Linked DNA regions of Rhinolophus ferrumequinum. The protein of the gene in region 1 purifies or fractionates together with the protein of each later gene. This does not show direct contact. Links are inferred from orthologs where the notes say so. Each region holds a gene or a part of one and is shown in the gene's direction. Other genes may lie near its edges. The genes, in order: BCL7C, ARID1A, SMARCA2 and ARID2.

Region 1 (7,740 bases):
TACACCCCAGTGTGCAAATCCTGTCTCCACCATTTACTAGCTGTTTGGTTTCCCACAAAACCATTTCCCTTCTCTGAGCCTCAGTCTTCTCATCTGTAAAATGGGGAAACACTCCCTGTCCTGTCTCCCTACCAGGCGTCTCCTGAGAATCACACAGATAGTGCAGGGACCAAGTCTGTTTCCCTCCCTCCCTTCCTCCTCCCCACCTCTGTACCTGCCTGGCACACAGCAGGGGCTCCATGAATAACTGTCATCTGAATGAACAAATGAAAGTTAAAGGTGATTTGTAATTTGTCAAACTGCTATAACAAAACCATTTATCCTTTGCTAACATCTTGCCTCGGGTTCAGCATTGTGCTTACTGCTCTAACACCCTATTCCTCGTCTTCCCAATGATGGGTGTGGTAATGATGATTTTGTAAGTGAAGATGTAGCGGTTGACGAGATACAGTGAGGCCCTAGGCCCTACATCTAGGAAGGGACAGAGCTGGAATTTGAACCAAAGTCGGCAGGACTACAAAGGTAGTTCTATAATCCCACTACTTACTGTCAAAATGGTGACATCCTTATTTTAGGGTTATCATCCCTGCCCAAGGTCACAGCATGGCGGCAGGCAGACCTACAGTCTATCTGATTCCAAACTGTATCCTCCCTCCACGACAAGAGTCATTTGGGGAAATATCTTCTTTCCCTGGGCAGGGCCTTCTGCCCAACCAAAGACGTTGACAGATTCCCCTCCTTTGTCAAAGTCCCCTCTTGGGATGGAATTTCTGCCCCTGTACTGAAACCCCTTCTGGGTCTCTCGGCCACGCACTGGTAGAAGAGTTCACAGCTCATCCTTTTACAGTTGGGGAGACCAAAGCCCATGGAGGTGAGGTGACAAGATCACACAGAGCCTAGAAACCAGGTTTCCTGACTCACAGAGTGCAGTTCTCTTCACTCTCAGGCGGCCTCTGTCTTAAGCCCCAAGGAGGGAGCCTACAAGCTGAGGTGGCTGGAAGGGCATTGGAGGCACAGAGATGGGCCTCCAATGTGTGGCCAGGGGCAAGTGACTGAGCTCTCGTAGGAGCCCCCATTTCTGCAGCTGGGAAACGAGGCCGAGAGAATGGGTGGTGAAGAACCCTGACGAGCTGGACTTGCGCGTTCCCCAGGCCCCGGCTCCTCCACACCAGCCCTACTCACATATTCCTGGAGCAGCTGCTCGGCGTATTTGGTAAGGAGGCGGGCAAGGCTGTGTGTCTGCCGGATCTTGGCCTCCAAGAGCGGAAGGGGTGAGACTGAGGAGTCAGCCTGGGGGTCTTCTGGTGGGAAAAGGGGGGGAATGAGGGTAGCCCAGACCCCTACTCCTTGACCACTTTGGTCAAGCTGGCTCTTCCTTCCAGAACCCAGAAGCTCAGCTCTGACTTGTGCAACTTGAAGCCAGGCAGGCTCTGTCCCATTCCAACTGAGGGGAAAGGAGGCATCAGACATTTGCCAAACGGTTGTTCTACTGGAAATGTGTTCCCTGTCTCCGAATCACTGTTGAAATCCTATTATAGCCAAACTCAAATACTGTCTCCTCAGTGCAGCCTGGGAATCACCTCTCCTTTAAATTAACTTCTTCCTTCTACTTAAAGCCATTTGTTCATACTTCCAAGGTAGTTATTTTAATGGCTCTTTGACCTATGTGATTTGGCCTCCACCTCGGAGTCCTTTGAGAGTAGGACTCACATATCTCTGTACCTCAACGAACTGTGGGTGGAAGTCAACATCTCTGTAGCACAGAACATCACATCGGAATGTGCCTTTCAGCCCATTTTACAGACTGGGAGACTGAAGTCCCATTCCCTCCCTGATGGCCCTTCTGTGGAAGGCGCTGGGCTGGGTAACCGGCAGTATCAATGCCTGAATCAGCGATCAGCCGTCCCTAGCACAAGCTACAGGGTGGCTCCCTGGCAGGACTACATTTTCTGAGACGCCCAGCGCAGCGCCCAGGGCATGCTGGGGAATGTAGTCAACGCCCGCAACTCCTACCCCGCCCCCCACCCCCATCCCCGCCCCACTCGTCCCCCTCGCCTGAGTTTCCCACCGCCTATCCCTATCCTTAACAGCCTCGACTTTCCTTTCCAGTTTCCTTTCCAGTTTCTAGCTCTCGGGACCCAAAGACTTCCTCCCCTAACTCTAACCTTCCCTGTGGCCCCCAGCTCTGATTCTTTATCAATACTGAAGGAGAATCCTGGCGTCCAGCCCCAGCCACCACCCTCCCCCAGGGTGTACTCGAACCAGTGATCTAACCCTGGAGCCCACGTCCCTAAAAGCACAGCCCCAGGCCTCTAAACTCTGGCGCTAGCACCTTCCCACAGCTCACCGCTTGTTACCTGACACCGGGGCCCTGCTCTCCTCCGCTCAGGACGATCCCTTCCCGGACCCAGGGGTGGTGGGGACCCAGACCCCAGCTTCCAGCCCTTCGGACCCCTGCTCCCCTTGGGCACTCGGCACAGGCCCTTCAGCCCCTTACCCAGACTTCCCTCCCTCCGGCTCATGCTGGCCCCTGGTTGATACCGGTTGCCTCCACGCCCCCCTTCCGAGGGGGAGAAGGGGGGAAAAGGGTAGGGGCGTGGCCCGGGCGCAACCAATCAGGGCTCAGACCCCAAACAACCCACCCCCGCCCTCCCACCCCCCGCCCCAGGCAAGATTCCTTGTTCCTGAGCTCAGCTCCCTGCCCGCGCCGCCTTGTCCAGAAACGGGCCTGAGGAGGGCGACAGGTTGCCTGCATGGTGGACTCGGGACCTCGATGCTGGGGGCGCCCGGGCCTGGGAGGCAGCCCAGCGTCCCGCCGGGAGGAGGCTGAGGCTCTGATCTGGGGCAAGGCTTGGGTGCTCGGTTTGCTTTTCGGAGAAAGCTGAGTAGATAGGAGAGGGTGGAGCTGGCAGGGCTGGAATGTGGTGCCCCTCCCTTTTGGCTGGAAAGCAGGGGTAGAGAGGGTGCGAGAGAGGCCGGTGGAGGCCCTCAGGCTCGGGCCACACCACGCCTGGCCTACCTTAGATACTTTGTGCTGCTGGTCTCATTGTCACAGCTACCAGGAGGGGGACAGATACACCAGCTCCTCTCACTTTACCAGGCTCAGTAAGAGAACCCCTCTGACACACCTACTACATAGAAATACTGTAGTATTTCTACTACATACAGACTTTCATTCTTACACAGGAACAAGCTTCAGAGACAGGTACAGGAAGTCATACACTGCCAACCCCACTAACCTGGTGCAGACAAACACCAGGGCCCCTCTGTTTTGGGCCCTGGTATTGAGGTGCTTCATACTTGGTCTCTGGTCCTCTGAGGAGCTCACAGTCTGATGGGGGAGGCCACAGACAACAAGTAATGGGGTTTGTGAGTGAAGAGCCTGGGAAGGAGGTCTGTGTGTCTGTGAGGATATTGCCAGAATGAAGGGAGAGGGCACAGCAGGTGCAGTGAAGCCAGACTGTTGATAGCAAGCACGATCACACACTTACTAACAGCGAATATTTACTGGGTGTTGAGTATGACGTACAAGACGCTGTTCTAAGAGCGATCCACTGCTTAACTCATTCCCACGTCATCCATGAAGACAAGTGACTTCTCCAGGGTCATTGGACAAGCAGATGGGGTTCCCCCCAGCAGTTTGGCTCCAGGAATGCTGTCATAACCACCTTCCTACACCTTAATCCCTGTGGACAAAATCACACCAAACCGCACAGGCACAATAGTCACTCTTGAAACACGCACACACATAGCAACACAAATTTAGACGCGTTCTATCTGCTGGCAAACACAGCCTCAAATGAAACCAACCAAGACACGCTCCTTTGAAGTAAACTTTTCCTTGACGTATGATGTACATAGGGAAACGTGCACACCTCCTAACTGTAGAGCTCCGTGAATTTTCACAGAGTAAATAACCTGCAGGGAACCGGCCCTAGGTTATGAAACATGATCAGATCCCAGAGCCCCCTCTGAGCTCCTCTCAATCCTGAGGATGACCACTGCCTGACTTCTCACACCATACATTGGTTTTGTCTGTTTGGAGCTTCCGATCAACGGAACCATACAGTACGTACTGGTGTATTTTACTTTCATGAGACTTGTACCGGTTGTTGGGTGTAACCGGACGTCATTCTCCTTGCTGCATCCAAGGCGTGAATAGGCTTCTTCCACTCCCCTTGATGGGTTGTTTCCAGTTTGAGGCTATTATAAATGGTGCTATGAACATACCGACGCTTTTCGGTTGGGTGTTACTGACCTAGGAGTGGAATTGCCGGGTCATAGGGTTGGGGTGTATGCTGGGCTTCACTAGAAAACGGCCTTTTCCAAATTGTCTCTACCAGTTTACTCTCCCCCAGAAATGTGAGAAGCCCAAGTTGCTTTACTTCTTCGCCTACCCTTGGCATGCATGGTCCGTGGTCCGTCATTGTCATTTTAGCCATTCTGGTGGGTGGAGTCCCACTCATATGTAGCGTCTGGCATGTACTTGGCACTCAGTTAATAGATTGTTGAATGAATGGCTAAAGGAACAGTTGGACAGTGTACAACTGGACAGTCTGGCGAGGGTGGACACGCACACGCTCACGGCGTTTCAGGGACGCCCACGCGCAGCGGACGCACACCGGGACACCGGCCCTCTCGCGCCCCTGGCGCCCACGTGGTCTGAACGCACCCCTCAGCCCCGCCGCGCGCGCGTCCACTCGCGGAGCTTGCCGGCAACCTCCCTCTGGGCGGCGGGCAGGGGGCGCTGCGCGTCCGGGCGCCCCGAGGGGGCGGGCCGGGGCGGGGCGGGGCCGGGCGGCTGCCAGGCCTGGGCTCAGGACGTCCGCGCCGCCGGGCCGCTCCGGAGACGGGCCGGGGCGGGGCGCAGCGGCAGGAAGCGGGGCGGGGACTCGCGGAGGCGTTGGGGAGCGAGGGAGGGCGCGGCCAACTCCCGGAGGGACGACTGGCAGAGCGAGCGGCGCCCGGGCCTGGCGCCGAGCCTGAGCCCGCCGGACGGGAGGCGGCCCAGCCACGGGCTGGGCCTCGGCTCCAGCCCAGCCAGCATGGCCGGTCGGACTGTGCGGGCCGAGACCCGGAGCCGGGCCAAGGATGACATCAAGAAGGTGATGGCGACCATCGAGAAGGTCCGGAGATGGTGAGCGCTGTCCCGGGGTCAGGGACGGGACATGGCGGGGCCGCCCCTCCTCCAAAGGCGTCTACCCTCCCTTTGCCAGCTGTGGCCCCAGGTGTTCTGTGCGCTTCCCCCGGTCCCCCCACCTGCGCCCTGGGTCTACAGGGCTCTGTGCCCCTTATCCTGGCTACACCCTGGGGTTTACAAAGCGTGTTCCCCAGCCGTGCCCTCTCAGAGCGGTTGCTCCGCCTCCTAAAGCTTTGACACTCCTCCCGCAAGTATGCCCGCATCCCCAGCCAGGCTCGTGGCCGCGAGCCCCAAGTATACCCCAGGGGTCTGCGAACCATGGCCCTAAGCCACGCTCTTACTGGAGACACCCCATGTATGCCCTGGGGTCTGCGGGGCTCTTTTCTCCCTCTATGCCCCATTAGCAGAACTGCCCCTTCCCTCTTGCACCACCCAGATCTCTGCAGGTATCCCCAGATGTGTCCAGCTGCTCGGGGGCTCTGTCCTCTGGCCTTTCTGACCCAGTCCCCCCACTCTCCCACAGGGAGAAGCGCTGGGTGACTGTGGGCGACACTTCCCTTCGTATCTTCAAGTGGGTGCCAGTGGTGGACCCCCAGGAGGAGGTGAGCAAACCCCCCCAGCCCAGACCCTGCGTCTGTGCCGCCACAGGCAGGGCCCTCCCCATCCTGGCCTCCCCCCCCACTACGCACTCTGAGACCTCCAGAGCAGCTGCCCAGACAGGTGTTAACAATTACGCGCACCTCCGCTGGCTCTCCCTTTTTCCTGCTCCGGCCAGACCCTGGAGTTCAAGACCTAACCCAGTGTGCGCCTCTCTGCCCTCTCGTGCAGGGCCTTTTGCTCCTCTGTGCCTCAGTTCACTTGTCTGTAGAGTGGGGGCTTTGCAAGTGGTAACTGGAAAGCGGGTTCTGAGCCTTCCCTCTCTAATCGCCAGGAACGACGGAGGGCAGGTGGCGGGGCAGAGAGGTCCAGAGGCCGGGAGCGGCGGGGCAGGGGTGCCAGTCCCAGAGGAGGGGGCCCTCTCATCCTGCTGGATCTCAATGGTAGGTAGGGATCCTGGGATTTGGGAGGAGGGGGCTGCGGGCCTCAGACCCAACCCTTTCCACCTTTGCTCCCACAGATGAGAACAGTAACCAGAGTTTCCATTCGGAAGGCTCCCTGCAAAAGGGCACCGAGCCCAGTCCTGGCGGCACTCCCCAACCCAGCCGCCCTGCGTCACCTGCTGGACCAACGGAAGGGGTCTCAGAGGAAGCTCAGCCCCCACGGCTGGGCCAGGAGAGAGGTAGGACCAGGTGCCTCTCAGGAGCCCTGCCCTCTCAAGTCTTGTCCTCTCCCAATTTTAAGCTCACCCCCGTACACGCACTCCACACCCCACTGGGTCCCTTCCTTTGACTTCGTCTGATCTCTACATAACGTATCACTGTGGGATTTTTCACGCAAATTTAATTTTTAGTACCTAAGTGTCTTTCTTCCCCCCTCCCACCTCACGTCTGCTTCCTGAATGTTGGGCTCCTATTGACCTTGCTCACTTCAGAGCACCATAGGACACATAGTAGGTGCTCAATAAATGGTTGTTGCGGAAAACATAATAGTGACCATCCTGAGTCATTAATAATAACAGCTGATCGTTACTGAGCTCTTAGCACATGCCTTGCACCCTTCTAAGCACTTGACACGTGTTATCTCATCTAATCCTCACGACCCACCACCACCCCCCGCCCCCGTGAGGGTTTTTAATCACCATTTACACCCAGAGAAGTACAGTCAGTTGCCCAGGCTCACGCAGCTGGTGAGCCAGCCTCCTAAGTCCCGCTCAGCTCCTCTTTTCTCCAGAGTCAATCCCCTTCCTGTCTGGTCAGTACCACCTGCCAACTGTCCACCTGCCTGGCCCTGCCCAGGCTCTGTCTTCGGTCATCCACACCTGACTTCAGCCTCCTTGTAGGGTCTCCTACCCTTCAGTCACCTCCACACAGTGGCCAGAGCCATTTTATCTAAAGCACAAGTCTGACAGGGTCATTTTGCAGCTAAAGCCTCCGATGGTTCTCTGTGGCCTTTGGCTCCTCATCCTGGCACCCTGGGCCGTGTGAGCCGTTCCCTGCTGACCTTGTTGTCCCCTTTCAGGACACCATGACTTGGTGTGGTATGGGCTGTGTCTAGACTGGGCCATGCACCTGTGTATCTTTACCGACATAAAAACAGTAACTGGCATTTACTGAGCACTTACTATGTGCCAGACAGTGTGCTACCCGCTTTACCTGTATTATCTCATTTAATCCTCCCAACTTTTAAGTGGTAAATACTATAATTATCCACATTTTACAGATGGGAAAACTGAGGCCCAGAGAAATGAAATCACTTGCCCAAGGTCAGGGTTTGAACCCAGGCAGTCGAGCCCGGGTTCTGTGCTTGCTCAGAATCTGTGCTTGCTCAGCATATGTTCCCTCTGCCTAAGACATGCTCCATCTGCCCACCTGCCTACTCACCTGTCAAGATCCCACCTGGATGCCCGTCCTGTGTCTTCTTCCTGGGTTGTAGCCAGGTGCCTGGCTCCCTCCCCAGGGCTCCCACAGCTTGGGGGCTTATGTGACTCAGGGAATGTCTGT
Region 2 (6,920 bases), on another chromosome or scaffold:
CCCAAAGCCTCCGCTGGGGCTGTTTCTGAACACGGAGTTGCAAACTTTAAGAAACAGACAGCTCCAGAAAGAAATCCACGCCAGGCTTTGAACTCTGCTCCTGGCTTCCGTCAACTGACATAGTTGCCCTTTTGCTCAAACTCGCAGCTCCAGTTCGCACTAGAGAGAGCTCTGCTGGGTGTCAGCTTTTTTGCCGCGGTGGGGACGCATGTGGGGGCCACAACTTGGCGCTCCACCGAGTCCCCGCGCCTTAGTTCAGAACCAAGGCAAATCCTCACTGGGTCCCTGGGCTTAAAACATCTTCCCCCAAGAGGAGTGGGTAAAGGAAGGAGCCGAGTTCAATCTTTTGTTTGTTGAATTTTGTATTTCGGACACTTAGGGGAAACAAATTGAGAGAGAGGAAGGGCTGTCCACCCTGCAAACGTTTCCCTCTCTTTGCAAACCCTTCAGGCCTGGATTCCACATTTTGCAGTTGACTGCGTGGATTTAACATATGTTGTTCCCTTGTTCTCGAGCCGAATCCATAAAATGAGAGCACATCCTCTGCCATTTTCAGTCAGTTTGTCCTGGCAGCCCTGCCCCCCTCCTTGGCTGCCGCAGCCACGAGTTATATTGCTCGCAGAAACTCCGCCTGATCCTCCGGGCGGGAAATCCAGTCCACGTTTGCCTAGTGCCGTGCGGTCGGGGATGGTGATAAGAACTCTCTTGTGAGGGAGCGAGCGAGACTTTAGTCCGGTTTCCATGTCAACGATTCAGTCCATATTTGCCATCAGGCTGTTGGTGGCAGAGGCGCTTTCGTGAGGGTACGCGCTGTCCTAGTCCTAGTTCTCTAATCTGCGCCGGGATTCCTGCGCTGCCTGGGTGTGGGGTTAAAAGGCAGGGGCCGTAGGGGAGAAAACTCCACGGAGGGAAAGACCCATAGACCCAAACCTAGGGCTCGCTGCTCGAGCCAGCCACGTGCCCAGCTCCGCCCCTCCCCCCCTTTCCCGCTGCCATTGCCCCTAGGGAAAGCTGATGGGCCAGTTTCTAAGAAAGTTCCCCTTCAACTCCGCAGTCCCTGGGATAATGGTGTGGGGCTCTAAATGTAGGGGTGTAAAAGAACAATAAAGGATTTGAGATTTAAAAAATATATAGTGGAAAAGGAGAAATCCCACGTTACCTCCTCCAACCCAGGTGGATAGATTTTTTTGTGCACTTTACCTCATTGTTAAATAAAAATGGTGGCTGTTTTCTAAACAGCTTGCCCACGTGTAGAAAAGGGATTTTGACACTTTGCGAATTTCACAGCCCTTGAAGAAAAGGGATGAGGGCTTCCTCTGGAGAGACCCATTCTGGCTTCCAGATTTTCACTGGGCTCTGGGTTTCCTATTACACTCAAGCTCTGAGGAAAATGGCAGGATAATTGCATGTAAAAAATTCCTCATTTGTGTGCGGGACCCAGGACTGTTTGCCAGCTCAGAGGCAGTTGATTAAATAGCCAAGCTCCATTTATGAGGCAGCCTATAATTTGGCTTCTAGGACCTAATGCATGGGGAGAGTTGTTGCCCCTGAGGACTGAGTGAAACAGGGCACTGGCCCATTCCAGTCAGTCAGGTCCTGGCGTTTGGTTCCTTCCTAGGAGGGCGGGGTGAGCGAACACCATTCTTAGATTGACAGGAAGGTGTTGTCTTATTAGTGTAGGATGCTCTTAAGTGTTTTAGGGATAGGGATGAGTTCAGGTTTTTCGAATTATTCATGGTGACCAGTGGCACAGACAGAACTCCAGGGGCCTGCAGAATCTGGAAATTCTAAGATAATAGTTCTGTGGCCAAGAAGTCTCCATTTGTAAAAGCTGAGGAGAGAAGAGGCCCTGATGGCTAGTGACTACATGGACCTCGGCTTCTTTTTCCTAAGGCAGCCTTAGGCCTGGTGAGGCGCTGGAATCTCCTCTGGCTTTTGTAGCCTGTCACATCAGAGCATTCCAAGTCAGCCTGAGGAGGAAAAGGCTGCTGCTGGGATTTGGTTGGGCCTGTAGATCCGGCGTTTTATATGTAAGCCTCCAGCTCAATCTGCATCTCTTAGAATGTAATGGTAAAACTTTGAAGAATCTTTTCAATGGAGAATAGAAAACAAATTGGGTTGCATCCATTTTCTCAGTGACATGTCAGACTGCCCTTTTTCTTTTAGCCATTCTGTGTAGCCATTCCTCTTCTGCAGTGGTTCCTTCACTCACATTCCTCCATCCCTTATAGCTTCTTCTGTGGTCTGTTTATAGGCTCACAGGTACTGTACTGGGAGACGGGATATTGGTCACTGTGGGCTATGTTCTCTTAGGAGACAAAGATGAGGCTTGGGTTCAGCTAGAAGGCTGTCATATTTCCCAGAGTAGCTTCAGTGGTGAGCATTTTAAGACAGTATTGAGATGACCAGCTTTGATCTCAAATCCATTCTGATAATCAGATCCCATTGTTGGATATGACACAACTTGACTTTTTTTTTTTTTTAAAGGCTTAAAGGCTAAGTAGACAAGGGCAACTTTGGGGACTCTGCTACTTTTTAAAGCCACTCTCCTCTGTCATCTAACTTTAAGTGATGGAGCAGTCCCTTCCCCTTTCTTTCAATTCCGTAAAATGGGGATAATCCGACCTCATGCCCCCAGGGCCTTGTGAGGACCTGTTACTGAGGGCAAGGGAGAGGGAAAACGGAAAGTCTGAACAATAATATGTCATTATGTCATTACATTAGGCTTGCAAAGGGGTTTAAAAGTAAGGTCCACTCTCTCACTCAGCTGGGTCGTTAGAGCGGGTTTGTAAAAGGCTTTGAAGAAGAAAAGTACGGTAGAAGTGCTAAGTAGCAGCCAAGAGACCAGGCCCACTGCCAGAGGGTCAGGCCTGGGCCTGAGGCGGCCGCGATCTCAGGCTGAGCCAATTCTGCAGACGCGAGTAAAGTTCACGCTGCCCGCTCCCCTCGGTGCGGCCTAGAGGAGACCGACCCGGATAGGAACGACGGGAGGAAGGCGGCGCAGGTTCCGGAAAGGCGCAAGCTCCGGGCCGGGTTTTCCCCGAAGCCTTCGGCGGCGGCGCTGCCGAGCGAAAGCGGCAGAGGGCCTGCTGCCGCCGCGGCTGGTTATCTCCCCTCCTCCTTTGTGAGGGGAAGGGAGCGAGTCCGTTCCACGGCCTGCGCCCGCTCCGCGCTCCGTTCCGGGTTTGCCAGGCGGCCGCGACGGCGCTGGGTAAAATGGCAGTGCTGAGCCTCGTGTCGGAGTGAGGGGGACTCGGAGGAGAGTGGGGCGCTCTAGCCGCTCAGTCCGGCCGCTCGCCCGCTCGCCCGCCCGCTGCCGCGCAGCAGCCTCGGTCCGCGTCGCGGCCGGGGAGGGGAGGCAGGGCGCCCGGCCCGCGCTCCGACTCTGACTCCAGGCGCCCGGGTTGCCGCTGCGCGCCCTCCAGCCCGCCCGTCCCGGGTCCCCCTCCCCCCGCTCCCTCCCTCCCTCCCTCCCTCCCCGCCCCCTCCCCCTCGCCTCCCTCCCTCCCTCCTCCTTTCTCCGGCAGCAGAAAGCGGAGAGTCACAGCGGGGCCAGGCCCTGGGGAGCGGAGCCTCCACCGCCCCCCTCATTCCCAGGCAAGGGCTTGGGGGGAATGAGCCGGGAGAGCCGGGTCCCGAGCCTACAGAGCCGGGAGCAGCTGAGCCGCCGGCGCCTCGGCCGCCGCCGCCTCCTCCTCCTCCGCCGCCGCCAGCCCGGAGCCTGAGCCGGCGGGGCGGGGGGGAGAGGAGTGAGCGAGCGAGCGCAGCTCAGCAGCGGAGCCCCGCGAGGCCCGCCCGGGCGGGTGGGGAGGGCAGCCCGGGGGACTCGGCCCCGGGGCGGGGTGGGAGGGGGGGAGAAGACGAAGACAGGGCCGGGTCTCTCCGCGGACGAGACAGCGGGGATCATGGCCGCGCAGGTCGCCCCCGCCGCCGCCAGCAGCCTGGGCAACCCGCCGCCGCCGCCCTCGGAGCTGAAGAAAGCGGAGCAGCAGCAGCGGGAGGAGGCGGGGGGCGAGGCGGCGGCGGCGGCAGCGGTCGAGCGCGGGGAAATGAAGGCAGCCACCGGGCAGGAAAGCGAGGGCCCCGCCGTGGGGCCGCCGCAGCCGCTGGGAAAGGAGCTGCAGGACGGGGCCGAGAGCAATGGGGGTGGCGGCGGCGGGCCCGGCGCGGAGCCGGACCTGAAGAACTCGAACGGGAACGCGGGCCCTAGGCCCGCCCTGAACAATAACCTCACGGAGCCGCCCGGCGGCGGCGGCGGCGGCAGCAGCGATGGGGTGGGGGCGCCTCCTCACTCAGCCGCGGCCGCCTTGCCGCCCCCAGCCTACGGCTTCGGGCAACCCTACGGCCGGAGCCCGTCTGCCGTCGCCGCCGCGGCGGCCGCCGTCTTCCACCAACAACATGGCGGACAACAAAGCCCTGGCCTGGCAGCGCTGCAGAGCGGCGGCGGCGGCGGGGGCCTGGAGCCCTACACGGGGCCCCAGCAGAACTCGCACGACCACGGCTTCCCCAACCACCAGTACAACTCCTACTACCCCAACCGCAGCGCCTACCCCCCGCCCCCCCAGGCCTACGCGCTGAGCTCCCCGAGAGGTGGCACTCCGGGCTCCGGCGCGGCGGCGACCGCCGGCTCCAAGCCGCCTCCCTCCTCCAGCGCCTCCGCCTCCTCGTCGTCTTCGTCCTTCGCTCAGCAGCGCTTCGGGGCCATGGGGGGAGGCGGCCCCTCAGCGGCTGGCGGGGGAACCCCCCAGCCCACCGCCACCCCCACCCTCAACCAACTGCTCACGTCGCCCAGCTCGGCCCGGGGCTACCAGGGCTACCCCGGGGGCGACTACGGCGGCGGGCCCCAGGACGGGGGCGCAGGCAAGGGCCCAGCGGACATGGCCTCGCAGTGCTGGGGGGCTGCTGCTGCGGCGGCGGCGGCGGCAGCTGCCTCGGGAGGGGCCCAACAAAGGAGCCACCACGCGCCCATGAGCCCCGGGAGCAGCGGCGGCGGGGGGCAGCCGCTCGCCCGGACCCCGCAGGTACACTGCTGAATGGGGAGGGGCTGGGGCGAGCGGGGTCCGGGGAGTGGGTGGCGGCTGCGGGGACCAGGCCACAGCCGTGGGCTACCCCCAGTCCGGGGCCCCCACTGCTGGGGAGCTGCCATTGTCTGGCTCTTCTCTCTTAAAATGGCTGCCTGTCTGCCTTCCTTTCCTTCCCTCCTTCAGCCTTTGTGTGGGGCTTTCCCTGAGGTGTCTGCTCCCCTTCTCCCTCTCCCCTGGTCCCTTTGAACTCCGGGGGTCTTCAAGGGGGTGCGGGGCAGAGTGCGGGGAAGGGGCCTGGTCAGGGGTGAGGGGGTGCTGGAGGCTCAGGTTAGGGGTGCAGGCATTGCTAGGAGCTCAGGTGTTAAGTGAACAATTCTTTGCTCACCTGCCGCTCCTCTCTGCCCCCCCTGCCTTCCTCCAGGCCGTCCCCCATCTGTGCTTTTAAGGAGGGGCCCCTCAGACTCGGGGGGACCTCGAGGGAGGGCAGGGGCCTGCTTGGGGGCAGCTAGAGGCCGGCCGCGGTTCACCCAGGGCAGCTTGGGCCACCTCCTGCTTAGTCTCCTTCGGCCCAGTGGCCTGGGCTTCTCCCTGGAAGTGCTGGTAAACAGCTGAGTGATTGGAGTAGTAAGTGCAGATTGCTTTGGTTTGGGATTTGAATTATGGAGGTAAAATCCTTCTGTCAAAGCCAGGAGACAGTTGGTCTTAGGTTGACATCCTATCTGTGATCTGATTGGCTCCCCATCTCCTGCTCTTGGCCATTTATAATTGCCTCTGATGTAATGGTACAACAATCCTGATGAGCTCATAAACTTTTACACTCTGCTTTTCTGCCAGTGATAACCCAAACCATCGCTGCCACTATCTGCCTTTTATTCCAGAGCTGAAATTGGCTGTGACCTTGAGGAGGGAGGTTTAAGCAGCAATACTGTATCAGCAGGAGCAGAGCCCCAGACAGGCTGCCCTTGTTACATTGTGCCTGAAACAAAAGAGGAGGCAGTGGCATTTTGCTTGTACCTTGGATTTATTTTGCTTGTTATGTTTTATGCAGCCTGAAATAGATTCTGTGTTGTCAGAACAGTAGCTGGGTTTTTCTCTACAATGGGTTTGCTGTTTGTTTTGGTTTTGTGACTTTTCTGATGGTATAAATGACTTCTTTGATGGCTCTGAGGATCCGTTTGTCTTGAGTAATTTTGACCCTGTTCACTTTGCAGAATTGAAATTATTTTACTGGATTTTTTATTGAGTGCCAAATGTAGGGTCTTTATGGGAGGAGATAATAGAAAACTTTTTTTTTTTTTTTTTGAGAACTAGAAGCTTTCAGAGAATTTCATGTTAGGTTCAAGAGTTCTGTTTTAAGGAAAGCTGGCCTCATTCTTTGTTTACATGTTGAATCTTAACACTCTTTTGTTAATTGAATTTTGGTAAAGCAGCTCAATTTAAAGGGAAGCTGACATCTTTCATGATCTTGAGAGGGAGTTTATCCTAAAGACTTGGCTTGGTGTTCCTGGAATATCAAAAAGGCTAGTTTTCTATTTTGTCATTTTAGAGCTTTAAAATAGAGGACAACCAATTTTTTTCTTTGCATTTTAAGGTATGTTTCTTTTTTTTTCTATATTGCAAGATAAAAAGATAGGACCTACAGTGATACTTAAAATTTGCTTAGAAATTACAACTTTCAGGTACTTTTTTATGCGTTCTCTTTTATTTTGCGATTTTTCCCTCTTCATGTTCTGTTTACAATGCTTTGATCAGAAATAGTGGGTATTTTATGGAGTCATGTATCTTTGCAAAGAGGAGGAAGAAAGCTCCAAAAGCTCCCTGCATATTCCCCTCCCAGCAGTACTCAGTTTACCTTTGTGGTACTAGGCTCACTTAGGCAGCTAATTAGCTGTATTC
Region 3 (7,582 bases), on another chromosome or scaffold:
GCAGACGATTTTTAAAACTCATTAAAAGAGACTTGCTGTTGTAATTAATACTACTCTATCACACAATTATCAAGTAAGCATTCATGTTTTTCTGAGACTAATTTAAGATCCGAACAAACAAAACCTCCTCTCAATGCTCTTTATTTGACTGCAAGAGCAGTTGATTCTCCTCACCTCCCACCTTCTCCATGCCCCACCAAAACAAAACAAAATGAAACAAAAGAAAAACATATCATCAGCATTTCAGCTTGGAAAACATCATAAAGCTTCAGAACACTTAGTAATCTTGTTCATTAACATGATAATTAGTAATGAAGACCTGCTAAATTCTCTGTCAGACAGTTTTAATATATGTCTCTCATCCTTTCATTCAACAGTTTTTTTCCTTTTCTTTAACAATATACAGTAGTCCCCCTTTGCCAATGGGGATATGTCCCAAGACTCCCAGTGGATGCCTCACACCACAGATAGCATCGATCCCTATTTATACTGTTTTTTCCTACACATACATACCTTTTCACTTAAAGGAAGCACTTGATGACTTCTCCTTGGCTTACCCAAATTGCCAGCATCACTACTCTTGTGATATTGGGCCATTATTAAATAAACTAAAGGGTATTTGAACACAGTCACTGCAATATAGTGACAGTCCACCTGATTGTCTAGAAAGCTACTAACATATGGGGAATGTATACCGCATGGAAACGCTGGACAAAGGGATGATTCTGGATAGGAAAGAGCAAGACTGCGTGAGCTTTCATTGTATTACTCAGAATGGAGTGCAATTTTAAACTTATGAATTGTTTATTTCTGGAATTTTTTATTTAATATCTTGGGACCAGGATTGACTCCAGGCAACTGAAACCATTGAAAACGAAACTGGATTTGGAGGGGGACTACTGTACAACGTGCTAGGCATCCAGCTAATTGCTGAAGTTTCAAAGATGAATTGAACTTGCTTTACACCCTCCAGGCACCAACCATCTAGTGGAGGATAGCAAATAATCGTATCAAAGTGATAAGTGCTGTAACGGCCATACACACTGGTTGCTATGGGAGCAGAATAGGATAAGTGGCTTCCTCTGCCTAAGGAGGGCAAGGAGGGCCACTGGAAGGATGCTGGGCCATAGCTGACTCTTGGAGTATGTGTACTGAGAACCTGTATTTCAGTCAGAGGAATGTATGTCCAATATGGCCCCTTAGGAACCAGGTGGTAGACCATGTTTCCAGAGCTTAGGCATTTGGGGAAGGAGAACAAGCCTAGCAGAGAGATCTGTCCATGCACACTGCCTTGGATGGATGACACGCTAAGAAATCTGAAATTTATCCTATGATGGATTGGGAACAGACAAAAGCTTTTAAGCTAGAGAGTAATATGCTCACAAAAAGAATTGGGGTGGCATTTTGGAGGAGTGATTGTAGAGAAACAAAATCTTCTGAGACGATTGACTAGAAAAAAAGGATAGAGAGGAGTGTTTATTTCTGCAATAAATTTACTTGCTAATTCTAAACTCTCTCTAAATTAAATGTCAACTGTTCACTTTGTCAGAGTTTCGTTTCCATTACTGCAGATGAAGCACTCATGCCTTAAATGGTCTTACCTTCAAGCCCATTTGAAGTTAGGCAACATTTCTTTCAGTCAGCGTTAATAGTTTGCCTAGTGGGACTAGAAGATTCCTATCTTTGTGCATGGAAATTTTCTTCATGAGGGTGTTGTGATACCGATTTTCAAACCCAGTATCTACCGTATACAGAATGTCCACCATAACAGACTTACATAAAAAGTGAACGTGGCCATACAGACATGAAAAAGTGACTTCTAGCCCTTGATCCCAAACTAGAAAGAGCAAGTTCAGAGAACGCATTATGACTCATCTAAGTCCAAAAGGAAAAGTTTCATGTGAATATAGCATCCTGTGCGGCCTCCCAGTTTTTTTAACCTCCAACCATGTTTGCTTTTGTGTGATTTTCTGCAAAACAAAAAAACCTCATCTTTTTTCTCCTTAACATCAGTTGTTAAGTTTTGCTTTACATCAGAGATAAAGCTCACGCTATATGTTCTACAATCTTTTCATAATGAGTGAATGGTGCTGCCTTTTGATTTTTTCTAAGTGTAGGTCTTGTTTTATAATATTCCTACTTGCTACAGTATAAGCTACAAACAAGACGATTCTTTAGAGAAAAGACCTGAAATAAGGTGGTGTTTTCTTAGACCAATGTGAAGGGAAAAGGAGATGGAATATCTGTATTTAATCTCTGCTCCCAATCATAGATTTTATTTTTCAATTCCCATAGTTTTGCATATAATGCATGGATACCCATCCCTCCAGGTAATGCATCAAACTTTTGTATTAGCTGAAGAATATATACATGGAACAAAGGCAACTTTCTTCTTTACTTTCCTTCTAACAAAATGCCAGAAAAAAATGGCCAATCTCTTACTCCAGTTTCTTACTAAGATGATTGTTCTCTTTTTGAAATTTGGCATGGCAGGTGGAGGTAGAATCTTAAAAGGATAAAGGGCACTTATGCGCAAGGAAATAATGGTAAAGTCATCAATTTCTAAAAATTGGCCTGTGAGGTTGACATGGCAGAGAAACAAATTAGGTCCACCAAAATTAAAACTTAATATTACCTAATGTAATGAGTATTGCCATAAGGTTAAAGTCCTTCTGTAGATAACTAGATTATCCGGCTATATTATTAGTTGCAATTTAATAGGCAGTTAGAAGTTATACTTTTACTACATTGCTAATTTTGTTTAAGACTTCTGGCTGTGTATTTCCCAGTTAACAGTTATACTGGCATATCCTCAGGCAGAAAACGAAGTTCTCACAAAAGATTCTTCAGTGCATACTGTTTTTTATTTCTCTTAGATGTGTTATATTTGTTGTCTTGAGGTTCACTTTTGGGATAGGCAGAAAATTATGAAGCTCAAGTTGACAAGCAAGATAACAGGGCCTTAGAAAAACAACAGGGTGGGTGATCCTTGACACACCTAGCCACCTGAAAGTGGTGCCCTTGCAGACTGTCCTTCCTCAAGCAGTGGACCAGCAAAGTGAACAATTCTCGCCACTTAATGACCACATGCAGCATTTGGTGTTCTTTCATTGCTTTGTGTCTTCAGTGTACCCACTGCATAGTTTTAAGCATCCTAGAATTGCATTTCAGACCTGATTGCTCAAATAGAGTCAATTTTGCAACAGTAAAATGGCCTTAAAATAGGATTTTACTCTAGGGGGAAACATCCTCAACCAAGTAGTCACTGTGCACTTTGAATGACTAATTTAAACCATTACATTACAAAATAAGGGATAAATCATATTTTTCAGAACAGTACAGTATAGGAACAGTTTTAATTTTAAGAGTCAAGCACCGTCATTAATCTGAGTCTAAAATAATAGGCCCCTGATTTTAAAATCTAACATTCTTTCACACTTCATAAAACTAAAAATAAAATTGTCTCAGCAAACACTGACCTGTTCCTCCCGCCAAAGTACTGTATTTCAAGGAAAATTGGAACAAGAGGTCTCAAAACCGCAAAGTGCCAGCAGTTTACTGTTTGTAGCCCTAATTGGTCTTAAACGTGGGGTGGGAGAGAAGATTCTATGGTCTGTAGAGAATAAGAGATTTATTCCCCTTCTTAAATCAAAAGCAGATTCTATGCTTAAACTGCCCCCTAACCCGCCCGCCCTGCCCCCACAGGGTTGTTTTTCCAAATTTTTGAATATATTTTACCGAAGATGACAAGTGAGGGAGGTCAAAGTGCTGTGTCTGGTCCACAAAGTAAACAGACGGTTTAGGGCGGGTTTATTTATTTATAAGGCGTTCAGCCTCTCAGCTGTTTTCCCCTCATTGGCATTTGGAAGCTTGCAGTCCTTTAGAAAAGAGGTAGATTTGGCAGGAATGTTCTTTGTGCCCTCCTTCCTTTTGATGGGGGAGAAGGGGGCCGATTTATAACTGCAGCCTCGGGTCGCGGGCGGGGGGAGTGAGGAAAAAGTTTCAGCCGACACAATGCCTTCCCCCCCCCACAGTCAACACTATGCCACAAACCGCTTTGGTGCCACTCGGAGCCCTACCCGTGTCCCCTCCCTTTCCCTCTGCAGGCTCGCTCTGGCAGGCGGAGGCACCGTTAAATTCCAGCACCTTCTTCACATACCCCCAAACTACTACACGCTATTACTACGGTTGCCCTCCCCCTTTCGCTTCGCCTCCTCCGCTTCCCCAGCTTCCCGGGAGGAGCCCGGCAGCGCCCCTGGAAGAGGTCTACCCGGAGAGGGATAACGGGCGCCCAGCTCCATCAAGCCTTGGGGCTCTCTGCGTCCTGCGCAGTTTCTCTGCTCCAGGCACAACCACGGCTCGAGAGCCGGCGCCTTGCAGACACACACCGATCCACGCATACAGTAGAGCTGTCTCCGTCCACATTCTTGCACACCGCCCCCTCCTCCCCCCGAGCTCCCGGAGTCGCTGAGCGGGTCGAGTGACAGGCGCGTCCCACCAACCCGCGCTGGGGCGGGCAGGGAGGAGCGGCGCGCGGGGCCAACTGCGGCGCGTCTTCCGGCGCCTGTGGAGGAGGCTGAGGGTGGGACGCGGGGCGGAGCCGGAGTTTAGGAAGAGGAGGGGATGGCTGTCATCAATGAAGTCATATTCATAATCTAGTCCTCTCTCCCTCTGTTTCTGTACTCTGGGTGACTCAGAGAGGGAAGAGATTCAGCCAGCACACTCCTCGCGAGCAAGGTAAATATAACTTACAACTCCTTTCTCCTCTTTCCCCTCCCTCCGGCCTCCCGGCTGCAGCCGCCGCACAAACCCCTCTGGCACCGCGCCGCCTTCGCCGGGGATTATTCATTATTATCCTAATTATTATTTATTGTGCATGCACAGAGACCAAAACAAATAGGCGGGCCAACCGCCACAACAACAACAAAAAAAGCCCGCCTCCTCCCCGCGGGCCTCAGGTGGAATGCTCTAACGACAGCACCCGGGCGGCGGTGGAAGAAACGGGAAAGTTTCAACCGAACCTTGCTGTTCTAATAATAACAGTAATAATTACTACTTCAAGGAGGCGGGGTGGGGGGGAATTCCCAACAAACCACAGCCTTGACCCTGGGTAGGCAGTCAGCGATGCGCTGCCAACTCAAGGTTGCAATACACACACTCGGCAAGGTTGCAGTCCCCCCCCCAACCCCTTAAAAGCCGGAGGGGGTGGGGGGTGGGAAGGAGGGGAAGGCAGGAGGATACAGGAGGAGGATGGAAACGCGACAGTTCATCCCGAGCAGTCCTCCCCGGAAGAGTTGGAAGAGGAGCGGGAGAAGGAGGCAAGGAGCCCGGGCTTGCGGCGGGGCGCCAACCAAAGCGGCTGCTACCCGCTTCCCGGGGACTAGTTTAAAGGGTTCCGGCTGCGGAGACCTGAGCGGAACCCTGCAGGAGAAGCTTGAGCTGGCGCGCCGAGCAGAAGGCTGCCACCGCCGCGGGGTCTGTGCGTGTCGGATCGGAGGTGTCACCTCCACTTTGCGCGTTCCCTCGGGCGGGGATGGGAATGCTGACCCGTAGGCAGGCCTTTAGGGGAAGGGGCCGCCGCGGAGCTGTGCCCGGGGCTCTGCGGGCGTCCCTGCCCCTGGTACCTGGCAGCCGCGCGGGCTCGGGTGTTGAAGTTCGGGGTGTCGGGCCCGGGCCGCACTGCTGGGAAGGAGGGAGGAGGCACCGAAGAAGGAGGTCGGAGGTGCCAGCCGGGCTCAGTTACGCTGCCTTCCTCCCCTTCCTCCCCCTGCACCCGGGTTTGTCTTGTTTTGCTTTGCGCCTTCCCCAAGCTGGAACCGCGGGAACCGCGGGCATAGATCGCCCCAAATCGTCTGGGTGCTAGGGGCGCTTTGGGGCCCGGGAGAGCCACGGTGGTTGCGGACCGGGAGGCCATGATCCAGATAATCCTCTCTGCCTGTCACAAACAGTACCCGCGCGCACGCCGGCAGTAGCGGTGGCGTTCGCCGGAGAAGGGGAAGGGCTGCGGGGGGTTGGGGGGGTGGGGAAGCAATGGGGGGGGGGGGGAGGCGAGGGCTGGAGGCGGGGAGACCCGATGGGAGCCTCCTCCCAACGATGACACGCACCCCTTCTTTCTCGTTCCCTGCTTTCGAGTTGCTTTATTCCCATTCCAACCTTTTTTACCCTTTCCTCTGCTCTTCCCTCTATCCGGCCGGCCCTCTTCCCTCCTCCCGTTTGTGTTGCAAAACATGGCCATGCCATCTGCAAAGGTGTCGAGATGCACTTCCCCAAATAACCGGTCCGGCGCGCCAGCCCCTAGGCGCCCTCCGGCTGCGGGGCGCACACAGAGTCCAGTGCCAAGGGTGCCCCGCACCAGGCCTCGCAGCCTGGGCGTAGTTGCACCGAGAGGGGCCGGGCGCAGCAGTGCGGGCTCGCGGAGACACCCGCGCCCTTGTCTGGGCACTCGGGCCGGTTTCCGGTACACGCGGGGAAATCGCCTCCTGCCAGTTTCTGGGCGCTCGCCCCTGCCCCGGCCGCCAGGATTGCATTATTATTTTTATCCGGGTTGCTGTTTGCGGCGGATCCTGGTGAGCGCGGGGCTGGCTGGGCTGCTAGGGTGGGGGTTGGGGGAGGGAAGTTGGACGCGGATCAGGCAGGAAAAAAAAGTTTGGCAGGGCAGCTAAGTGGGGTGGGGGGGGTGGAGGGGTAGGAGAGGGCGGCGAGCTCCGGCGGCTTGCGTCTCGGCGCCCTCGAAGCGGGCGCGAGGGTGTCTGCGCGTGAGTGTGTGTGTGTTTTGTGCGCGCCGGGTCCAGTGCGTTGGGAGCAGGGCGCGGGCCCTCCCCCGGAGCTCGGGGAAGACCTGGCGAGATTTGGAGGAGGGGGCTGGTTGGGGTGGAGTGTGCGTGTGGCTGTGAGTGTGAGTGTGCGCGCCCGAGCGGCAGAGAATCAGGAAGTCACAGCAGCGAAGCGCACACAGACATGTTTGATCGCCGTGACATGACGCGCGCGAGGGAGGAAGCGGCGGCGGGGGCCCGGCCGCGGGACCCCGCGCAGGCCTAGGGCTTCGGCGGGGAGACCCGCTTCGGGTCGCCAGCTGCACAGCCACGGCTCCTCTTTTTGTTCCGCGTCGCCCAGGTAAGCAACCTTCGCCGCCGCCTGTTGTGTGCGGAGCTTTCCAGCACTTTCCCTGCCGACTCCCTCCCGTCTCCCCGCTCTCTTTTCCTGCAGTCAGGCAGGCGGAGGAAACGGGCTCCTTCCCTCCGATCGATCGCGTGGAAAACTTTAGAGGGAGGCATCATGCGGAGGAAGGCGAAGGCCTTGCTGGCTGTTGTCGCTTGTCATTTCTTTCTCCTGCGGGTCCGGAGAGTGGAGTCGCTGCGCTCTGGGGCTGTTGCACTTTCAAACTTCGGGCCTAAACGTGCCTTCAACTCTCGCAGGATTTACTCTAGCAATAAAATAAGTATTTAGAGTCGTTCACTTGGTCTTGCCAGGGTTTGGATTTTTTAAGAGAAGAAAACAAGGCTCGGGAGTCGAGGGAAGTGGGGGTGTTGTGCAGAATCCATGCCTTCTTTAATGTCTGCACAGGCTGTTATGTAATTTTAGT
Region 4 (7,066 bases), on another chromosome or scaffold:
CTTCAAAAATTTCTCCAATGAATTGACGTATTAATTCCTCAATTAAGTTTTTTCAGCTGTTGTAATCATATACCTGACATGCTTGTTTTGAAATTTGGTAAAGCTTTCTTTTTAAGTTTACTTGAATGAATCGAGGGAATTTTAAACATCACAACTTCTTGGTTATATATTAAAACTGATAAGGATCAGAGATTTATATAAAATAATAGAAACCTCTAATTAGGGTGTTCGGGGTTTGCAGTTACTATTAAAAACAACACTTTGCATTTTCACACCAAAAAGGCTTGGCCAACATTTCTCATCAGAACAGTAAATTATACAAATATAGTTTCAACAATTTCCAGTTATTGGTAATTTTTATAGGGATGTTTTCCATTAATGCTTGAAAACTACAAAGTACATTTCATTTTTTATATCTTATTAAATTAGAGAATATCGTAAAACTGTCGGACATCTCTAACATTTCTTTTCCAGGATCCACCTGCTCTATGCTGCCCACTATAGGAAACGCAATATGGTACAAAGAAATGTTACACTACCGGTATGCACTAAGGTTACTTTTAGTGCAATCCCATAAAAAATATTCTCTGGGTACTTTGAGTGCTAAGATAGGGTATTCTTGCAAGAGATAGGCTGATTAGTGGTAACCAAATTTATTAAATATAAAGAACATCAGTAGCAACAGACATGATCAGTAACTGTATCTTGGTAATTCACACACCAGGAGTAGCAATCTGGGTGTGGCAAAGGATGGGGCATGGAACTTTGTGATTGAGGCGCAAACTGCATAAAGATGCAGTTGTGCGTCAGAAAAAAAATATGAAGGTCAAAATCAACTTAAACACCTCAAAAAAATCATATAAAAATACAAATGATTGCTGCAACTGAAAATAACATTTGAAATAAATTATTCGTGTAACGCGTATTTAAGTTTCAGCAGAGGAATCTCCTTTTTCCTTAAACCTTTCTATTCCTCTCACAAGCAAATACCGTTAATATATTAAGCTTACTTTTGCCTTTCATTTTTCTAGTATTGGGGAAGTAGAACCATGTAATAATCTTACAAATATCAGGTTTTTTTCTTTGACTAGAGCATATTCAAAGTGTTATTAATTTAAATTCTAGCCATCAGACATCTTTCGGAATCCATTTTGTAGATGACAGCTTCTTCTGCAGAAAAGGAATTTTTTTTCAGAGTCCATTCTCCAGTTACATTTTAAATTTTTAAAGAAAGGCATTAAAACGTTACTATCACACTCCAGGTCTTTAGCCTTGACACTTGTACTGAAAAGCAAAACACACTATTGTATATACATGTGCGTATATACACAAAAATAAACTAATAGGAAGCAGTCAGTAGCTTAAAAGTGGCTACCTCCCCTTGAAAAACAAAAATATAAAATGTCACCCCTCCATTCTGCCCTTTGAATGAGAGACAAGACAACCAGATTTGCCCACTGCAGAGTGGGATACCAGAAAGGACGTTTCAACGTCTAACCTGAGACATTGTTAACATAGACATTCTAGGTCCCGACTCGTATGACTTAAATTTCAGTGCATGTGGCTTCGTTCCCAATCCTGCCCCATCGACACCATCCAGGGCCCGGGGCCGGACCGCGCGACCACCCGGGGCGACGGGACTGCCGGAATCCGCGCGTACCGCCCGCTCCGGGCAACACGGCTCCCCGGCTCCCGGCCGACCGCGAGTTCCCGGAGCAGTGGCCTCCGGAGATCCTAAACCCACGACTCAGACTAGGGTTCCCGACAGGGCCATAGACTGTGACATTTAAAAACTACTAAAAAAGTCTCGCTGTACAAGTGGCGCGACAGAGAACCTTGCTGCCGTACCGCGTCGCCCGGTTCCTGTCCCCTCGGAGCGGGCCGGGAGGCCCAGGCGACCGTCCGCAATATCGCACTCAGCTCCCGAGAGCGTAGAAGAGCAACCAAAGCCACCAAAGACGCCGCGGCAAGTCCCCGGAAAAGTCAGCCGCAGCTTTCTCTTCTCTCCTTAGTTACAATTACCCCCGGGGCTTCTGGTGTTTCCTTCGAAAAAAATTTAAAAAGTAAAAGAGGTGTTAGAAATCGCTGACAATTTCTGTCGAAGGAGATCCCCTCGGCTCCATCACTTAAGCAGGATTTCCAAAGTCGGATGCATCCTCAGCGGAGGTATTCCATGTTGACAGATCTCTCGCCTCCCACAAAATGGGGCCGAGGAGGCGGCCGCTGTCTCCTCTATGGGCGCCGCCATTTTGTGAGGCGGCGGCGGCGCGGCGGCAGGAGCCCGGGGTGTGTGTAATGGTTGAATAGAATGACCCCCTCTAGGGAATCCCCGGCGCTGACAGTTACGTAAGGGGCTGTGCACAAGTGCGGCGTTTAGGGAATCCGCACAGCCCAGGCCACGCAGCTCTGCGGCCCACATCTCCACCACCCCTAAGAGGACCGGTTGGGGAAAGGACAAATGACCAGGTCTCTCCCTCCTACCCCGCCCCCCTCGCCTCCGTGCGGCCCGGCATCTCCACTCCCCCCGGACGGGTCTCCGCCCCTCACAGGCTTCCGAGACATTCACTGGCCCTTGGGTGTCTGGAACCTCCTAGCCACAGCCTTATTCCGACCCCACTTAAAAGATAAACTTTACTTGAGAAATAAATCCGTTTCCTAGAGTGAGCGCCGGAAGCAGACTGGACTATGTTACATAATTTTTCTCACCACCAAATAAATGTTCCCATTGGAACCACCACCTGAAATAATAACCCATGCAGACATTTACTAGCCTGTGACCTTGGATTAGTCAGTGACTTTGCCCATGGTGGCAAAATGGGAATAATAATGTTTCACATATTGTGAAGCATAATTAACACTTGTAGCAAAGGGCCCACTCCAGTACCCCTTGCAAACTTAGGAGGTAGTATTTGTTGAGATGTTGAATCTCCCCTTTTAAGCAGCCTTTTTTTAACCTTCAAAAATATCTAAACGAGGATCGCATTTAAGACATTTGAGAGAAAGGAAAAACATTTTCAATATTTAATATTTAAGCCCATCTATCTTTAAGATACTTAATATAAAAAATATAAACGTTAATCATTATTGTCAAAGTTCAAAAGATTGCTTCCCAATCAGTTTAATTACAGTTTGCATAACTCAGCATAGAATAATCTAGTTTAAGACCAAAGGCAAGATGAATTAAGAGCATTACTCTATTTCCACAGAACTAGGACAGTTCACATTGTATTTAATTTATAGTTTGCTAAAGTTAGTTTGTGGATAATTCGTGGAAAATGTGCTAACCAGGCCCCAAAACACCAGTACAAGGCTCAGAAAAGCCGATTCATTTACACCTTAAAAAAAAAAAGGGTAACAAATTGACTTTATTCCAATCTGTGAACGATGCGTAGCGTGAGGAGCTGCCCCTCTGAGCTTCCTTTCCCTCCCGAGCGCCACACCGGTTCTGTCGAGCGGGCGGGGGACTCCCAGGCAGCCCTTCCAACAGCCGGGCCAAGGACGCGAACATTGCCTCCACCCCTAACCCTGGAACAACCGGTAGTGGCCGTTTCCCCGCACCGCCCCCCTTTCCGCCGGCTTTGTGTGCGTGTGAAATGTGCGGCACATTGCAGATGAACCCTAAACCCGGAGCCGAGTCTATTGTTCCCCGCGAGGAGCTGCCGGGGCGGTGTGGAGCCAGGCGCAGTGCCGCGGCCGGCCCTCGGGGGTCGCTGCGCGGCGCTGGCAGCCCGGCCGTGGCGGCGGCGCTGGCGGCAGCAGAGAGGGAGGCTGGCGGGGAGGGAAGCGGGCAGGCGGCGCGCAGCGGCTCGGCTGCCGCCGGTGCCTTCTGCCCGGGGACGCCCCGGCCGAGGCCGCGCGTGAATGTGTGCGAGGGCCCCGCGGAGCTGCGGCCGGAATACACGCTGTCACCCCGCTTTCCACAAACCACCACACAGACCTCCCCCTCCCCACCCCCAGCCCCGCCTGCCCCAGCCCCGCCGCCGCCGCCGCCGCTGCCGCCGCGGCCGCCGAAACTCCAGGGCCTCCGGTCGCCCCGGCCCCTCACCGTCGGCTCGCCTTTCCCCTCGCTCGCTCGCTCGCTCGCGCGCCCCCGGCAGCAGCACCATGTTGAATCGCGTCCCCAGGCCGAGCCGCCTGGATCGGCGGCGCTGAGAGGCGGGCGAGAGCCGGGCCGCGGGGAGGGAGGGAAGGAAGGGGTGGGGGCCGCGCTCGCCCCGCGGCTTCGCGCGGATCCGGCAGTCGCCTGCCCCTCTAGTTTCGCTCCGATTTCTTTAAACTTTTTTAGAAATTCCCCTCCCTCCTTCCCTCCTCTCCCCCTGGCCTCCTGCTCCCTCCTTCCCCTCCTCCTCCTCCTCCTCCCCCTCCCTCCCTCCCTCCCTGCGCCGCCGCCGCCGCCGCCGCCGCCGCCACCGCCGGCCCATGACTGAGCCCCGCCGCCGCCGGCCGAGGAATGGGCTCCGGGCTCTGGTAGGAAGCGCAGGGAGCGGGGGGCGCTTTTAAAACACCGATCTGGGTTTTTTTTAAAACCTCCTTTGAAAAAATAATGGCAAACTCGACGGGGAAGGCGCCTCCGGACGAGCGGAGAAAGGGACTCGCTTTCCTGGACGAGCTGCGGCAGTTCCACCACAGCAGAGGGTGAGAGCAGAACCGGGGGGGCAGCGCCGGGGCGAGCCGGGGCGAACGGGGCTCTCCCGTCCGGGCCGGGCGTGGGGTCCCGGCTGACAAGTGCGGGGCTTTCTCTTTCCCGCAGGTCGCCTTTTAAAAAAATCCCTGCGGTGGGTGGGAAGGAGCTGGATCTTCACGGTCTCTACACCAGAGTCACTACTTTAGGCGGATTCGCGAAGGTGAGTGGAAGTTTTAATTTGTATTTCCCTCTCGCTGGCCTCCTCCAAAAAGTCTCCTTTGACCCCGGAGTGGGCGCTCGGGGCTAGGGGGGTGGCTCGCGGGGGTAAAAGGCGTTCTTTTCGCTCGCAGCCGGTGGCACGGAGGCGGACGGCGGCGGGGCTGTTTTTGGCCTGGTGGCTCGCGTGCGCGCGGCGGGCGCGGGGCTCGGGCGGGCGGGCGGCCCGGCGCCGGCTCGCGCCCTGCCGGCTGCCCCGCCGGCCCGGCGGGGTCTGAGCGCCGCGGCGGGGAGTGCGGGCGTGCGGGGCGCCCGCCGAAGCCCCGCGTCCGCCCCGTGCCCGCGCCCGCCCGCTCGCTCGCGAGTCAGTTCTGCCGCCGCTGCCGCTCTAGCACAGGCGGAGACACAGACTCTGAGAGCAGTTTTCGTGCAACTCAAAATTAGCGCGGGCAGGTTTAACATCGATAATCGGCTGCGAAATGATCCCGGCAGCCGGGGGCACAGCCTCGGCCCCGTCGCCCTCGGTTTATACAGCTAACAAAAGAAACCAGGACCTGTCTCCAAATAGCCATCTTAGGCTTCAAGGCTAGGCAGAAGCTGTAGGCCTCAAAGAAGGGCCTATGGAGATGGATAGATCTGGGAGAGGGATGTGAATCGGCCCCGGCCCCGGCCCCCCCAGAACCTGCGGACGTCGCTGTCCGGAGCAGTATTGATCCTTTTGAACTTTTTTTTTTTTTTTTTTAGTGTAAACCGACCGCGTTGAGATTTAAAAGGGGGCGACAGAGGGACTTGCGATTGGTTATTGTCCGGGCTTCAAAAACAAAACAAACCCACCAGACACCCCCCACCCCCCAAACAAAACAAGTGCCATTAAATACAGGGTTCCTGGGTGAAAACACAGTGATTCAAGCAGCTCTTGCTTAGTAACTCTTACGGATCGATCCGAAACACCCATTGATGCCTGGGTATCTACAGATCTCTGTAGAATGGGTATTTATTTCATAGTTAGGTTAGAGTTTTCTTGGATTGTGCATTTTCAGACAAGCGTGGCTGTGTTTTTAACAGGTTTCTGAGAAGAATCAGTGGGGAGAAATTGTTGAAGAGTTCAACTTTCCCAGAAGTTGTTCTAACGCTGCCTTTGCTTTAAAACAGTATTACTTGCGGTGAGTAGTAGTGACTCTTGAACAGTATTTGGAAATAAGGGACTTATGGGGAGATTTGTTTTTAGGAAACACACACACACACACACACAAACACGCGCGCGCGTGCGCGCGCACACACACACAAACACACACACACACACAAAACAAACCTTGCATACCAGTTTCTAAACTTGTTCATTTCAATCTGGGAAACATTAAATATCTATAAAGTGAGGTTGTAGGATCGTGAAAGTTTTCCCCACCTATTTTTGTATTGTTTACATTTTTCATACAGAATTATTACAGGTGACACCCCTCCCCCCATCTTGATAAACATTCTTTTGTGACATTGTTATTGATTGCAGAGGAGCAGAAAGATGATGCTTAGTAAAAGAGTTAAGATAGTTAATGAAACTTTGTATCCCCTGGGAATTTTTTTCTTTGTTTTGGAAACTCCTTTGCCTTTTTAAATACTGACTTTAAGATTTTAGAAAAATGAAACCTTTTGTGTGGAACCGTGTCACTGAGTAGTTTTTCAGTAGAATATTTCTATATAGCATAACATAACATGTTGGTGCTTTAATGACTAGGATTGTTTTTAGAATATTTTTTTTTTGAATTAGTAAAAAATGTTCAAAATGATTATTATATATTTAGGAAAATTAGGGATACTATAAAAGGAAATACTATGATTTGGATTTTCTTTCATTTTCCCCACCCCCCCCTTTTTTTTTACTTTTTTTAAACCAAGTAAGTTTCTTATTCAGTTGGTATGTGATACAATTTAGATGATACATTTTGTGATTTAGCTTTATGTTTTTCTCCCAGGCATATTTTTATACTGTAATTTATTATGAGGTCATCTTTTATTTTTAATGTTTACTTACCCATAAAGGGTCCTTAGTTGGTGATTGTTATTTAAAACTAAAATAATGCTCTTCATATTTATTATTTTTTAATAATGATATTATGGGATGGTCGTTTTTAGATAACGTGGCTTCTGCATCATTTGAGTTTGGCATTTATTGCTCCAAATGCAATATCAAAGTAGATATTCTGTGTTATGTCTAGCATTCTGAAATAG

The links.
Region 2: the proteins of BCL7C (region 1) and ARID1A purify together in Homo sapiens (affinity purification with mass spectrometry; 5 studies listed by BioGRID and IntAct, counting the BioPlex papers as one, with this or other methods). This does not show direct contact. The link is inferred for Rhinolophus ferrumequinum from reciprocal best matches to the Homo sapiens genes BCL7C and ARID1A.
Region 3: the proteins of BCL7C (region 1) and SMARCA2 purify together in Homo sapiens (affinity purification with mass spectrometry; 4 studies listed by BioGRID and IntAct, counting the BioPlex papers as one, with this or other methods). This does not show direct contact. The link is inferred for Rhinolophus ferrumequinum from reciprocal best matches to the Homo sapiens genes BCL7C and SMARCA2.
Region 4: the proteins of BCL7C (region 1) and ARID2 purify together in Homo sapiens (affinity purification with mass spectrometry; 3 studies listed by BioGRID and IntAct, counting the BioPlex papers as one, with this or other methods). This does not show direct contact. The link is inferred for Rhinolophus ferrumequinum from reciprocal best matches to the Homo sapiens genes BCL7C and ARID2.

What each region holds. Positions count from the first base shown.
Region 1 is NW_022680357.1:424,635-432,374, forward strand, and holds the start of BCL7C (B-cell CLL/lymphoma 7 protein family member C), read left to right. Parts: upstream 1-4,730; 5' UTR 4,731-5,045; coding exon 5,046-5,137; intron 5,138-5,663; coding exon 5,664-5,742; intron 5,743-6,071; coding exon 6,072-6,180; intron 6,181-6,257; coding exon 6,258-6,419; intron 6,420-7,740. Other genes in the region: CTF1 (cardiotrophin-1), read right to left, coding at 1,183-1,301, 2,498-2,522. UniProt on the Homo sapiens protein: May play an anti-apoptotic role.
Region 2 is NC_046292.1:18,273,843-18,280,762, forward strand, and holds the start of ARID1A (AT-rich interactive domain-containing protein 1A), read left to right. Parts: upstream 1-3,905; coding exon 3,906-5,021; intron 5,022-6,920. UniProt on the Homo sapiens protein: Involved in transcriptional activation and repression of select genes by chromatin remodeling (alteration of DNA-nucleosome topology).
Region 3 is NC_046295.1:33,833,283-33,840,864, reverse strand, and holds the start of SMARCA2 (probable global transcription activator SNF2L2), read left to right. Parts: upstream 1-4,582; 5' UTR 4,583-4,737; intron 4,738-5,355; exon of another isoform or gene 5,356-5,479; intron 5,480-6,223; exon of another isoform or gene 6,224-6,566; intron 6,567-6,719; exon of another isoform or gene 6,720-7,113; intron 7,114-7,582. UniProt on the Homo sapiens protein: ATPase involved in transcriptional activation and repression of select genes by chromatin remodeling (alteration of DNA-nucleosome topology).
Region 4 is NC_046293.1:47,892,986-47,900,051, forward strand, and holds the start of ARID2 (AT-rich interactive domain-containing protein 2), read left to right. Parts: upstream 1-4,052; 5' UTR 4,053-4,543; coding exon 4,544-4,635; intron 4,636-4,750; coding exon 4,751-4,844; intron 4,845-5,905; coding exon 5,906-6,003; intron 6,004-7,066. UniProt on the Homo sapiens protein: Involved in transcriptional activation and repression of select genes by chromatin remodeling (alteration of DNA-nucleosome topology). Required for the stability of the SWI/SNF chromatin remodeling complex SWI/SNF-B (PBAF).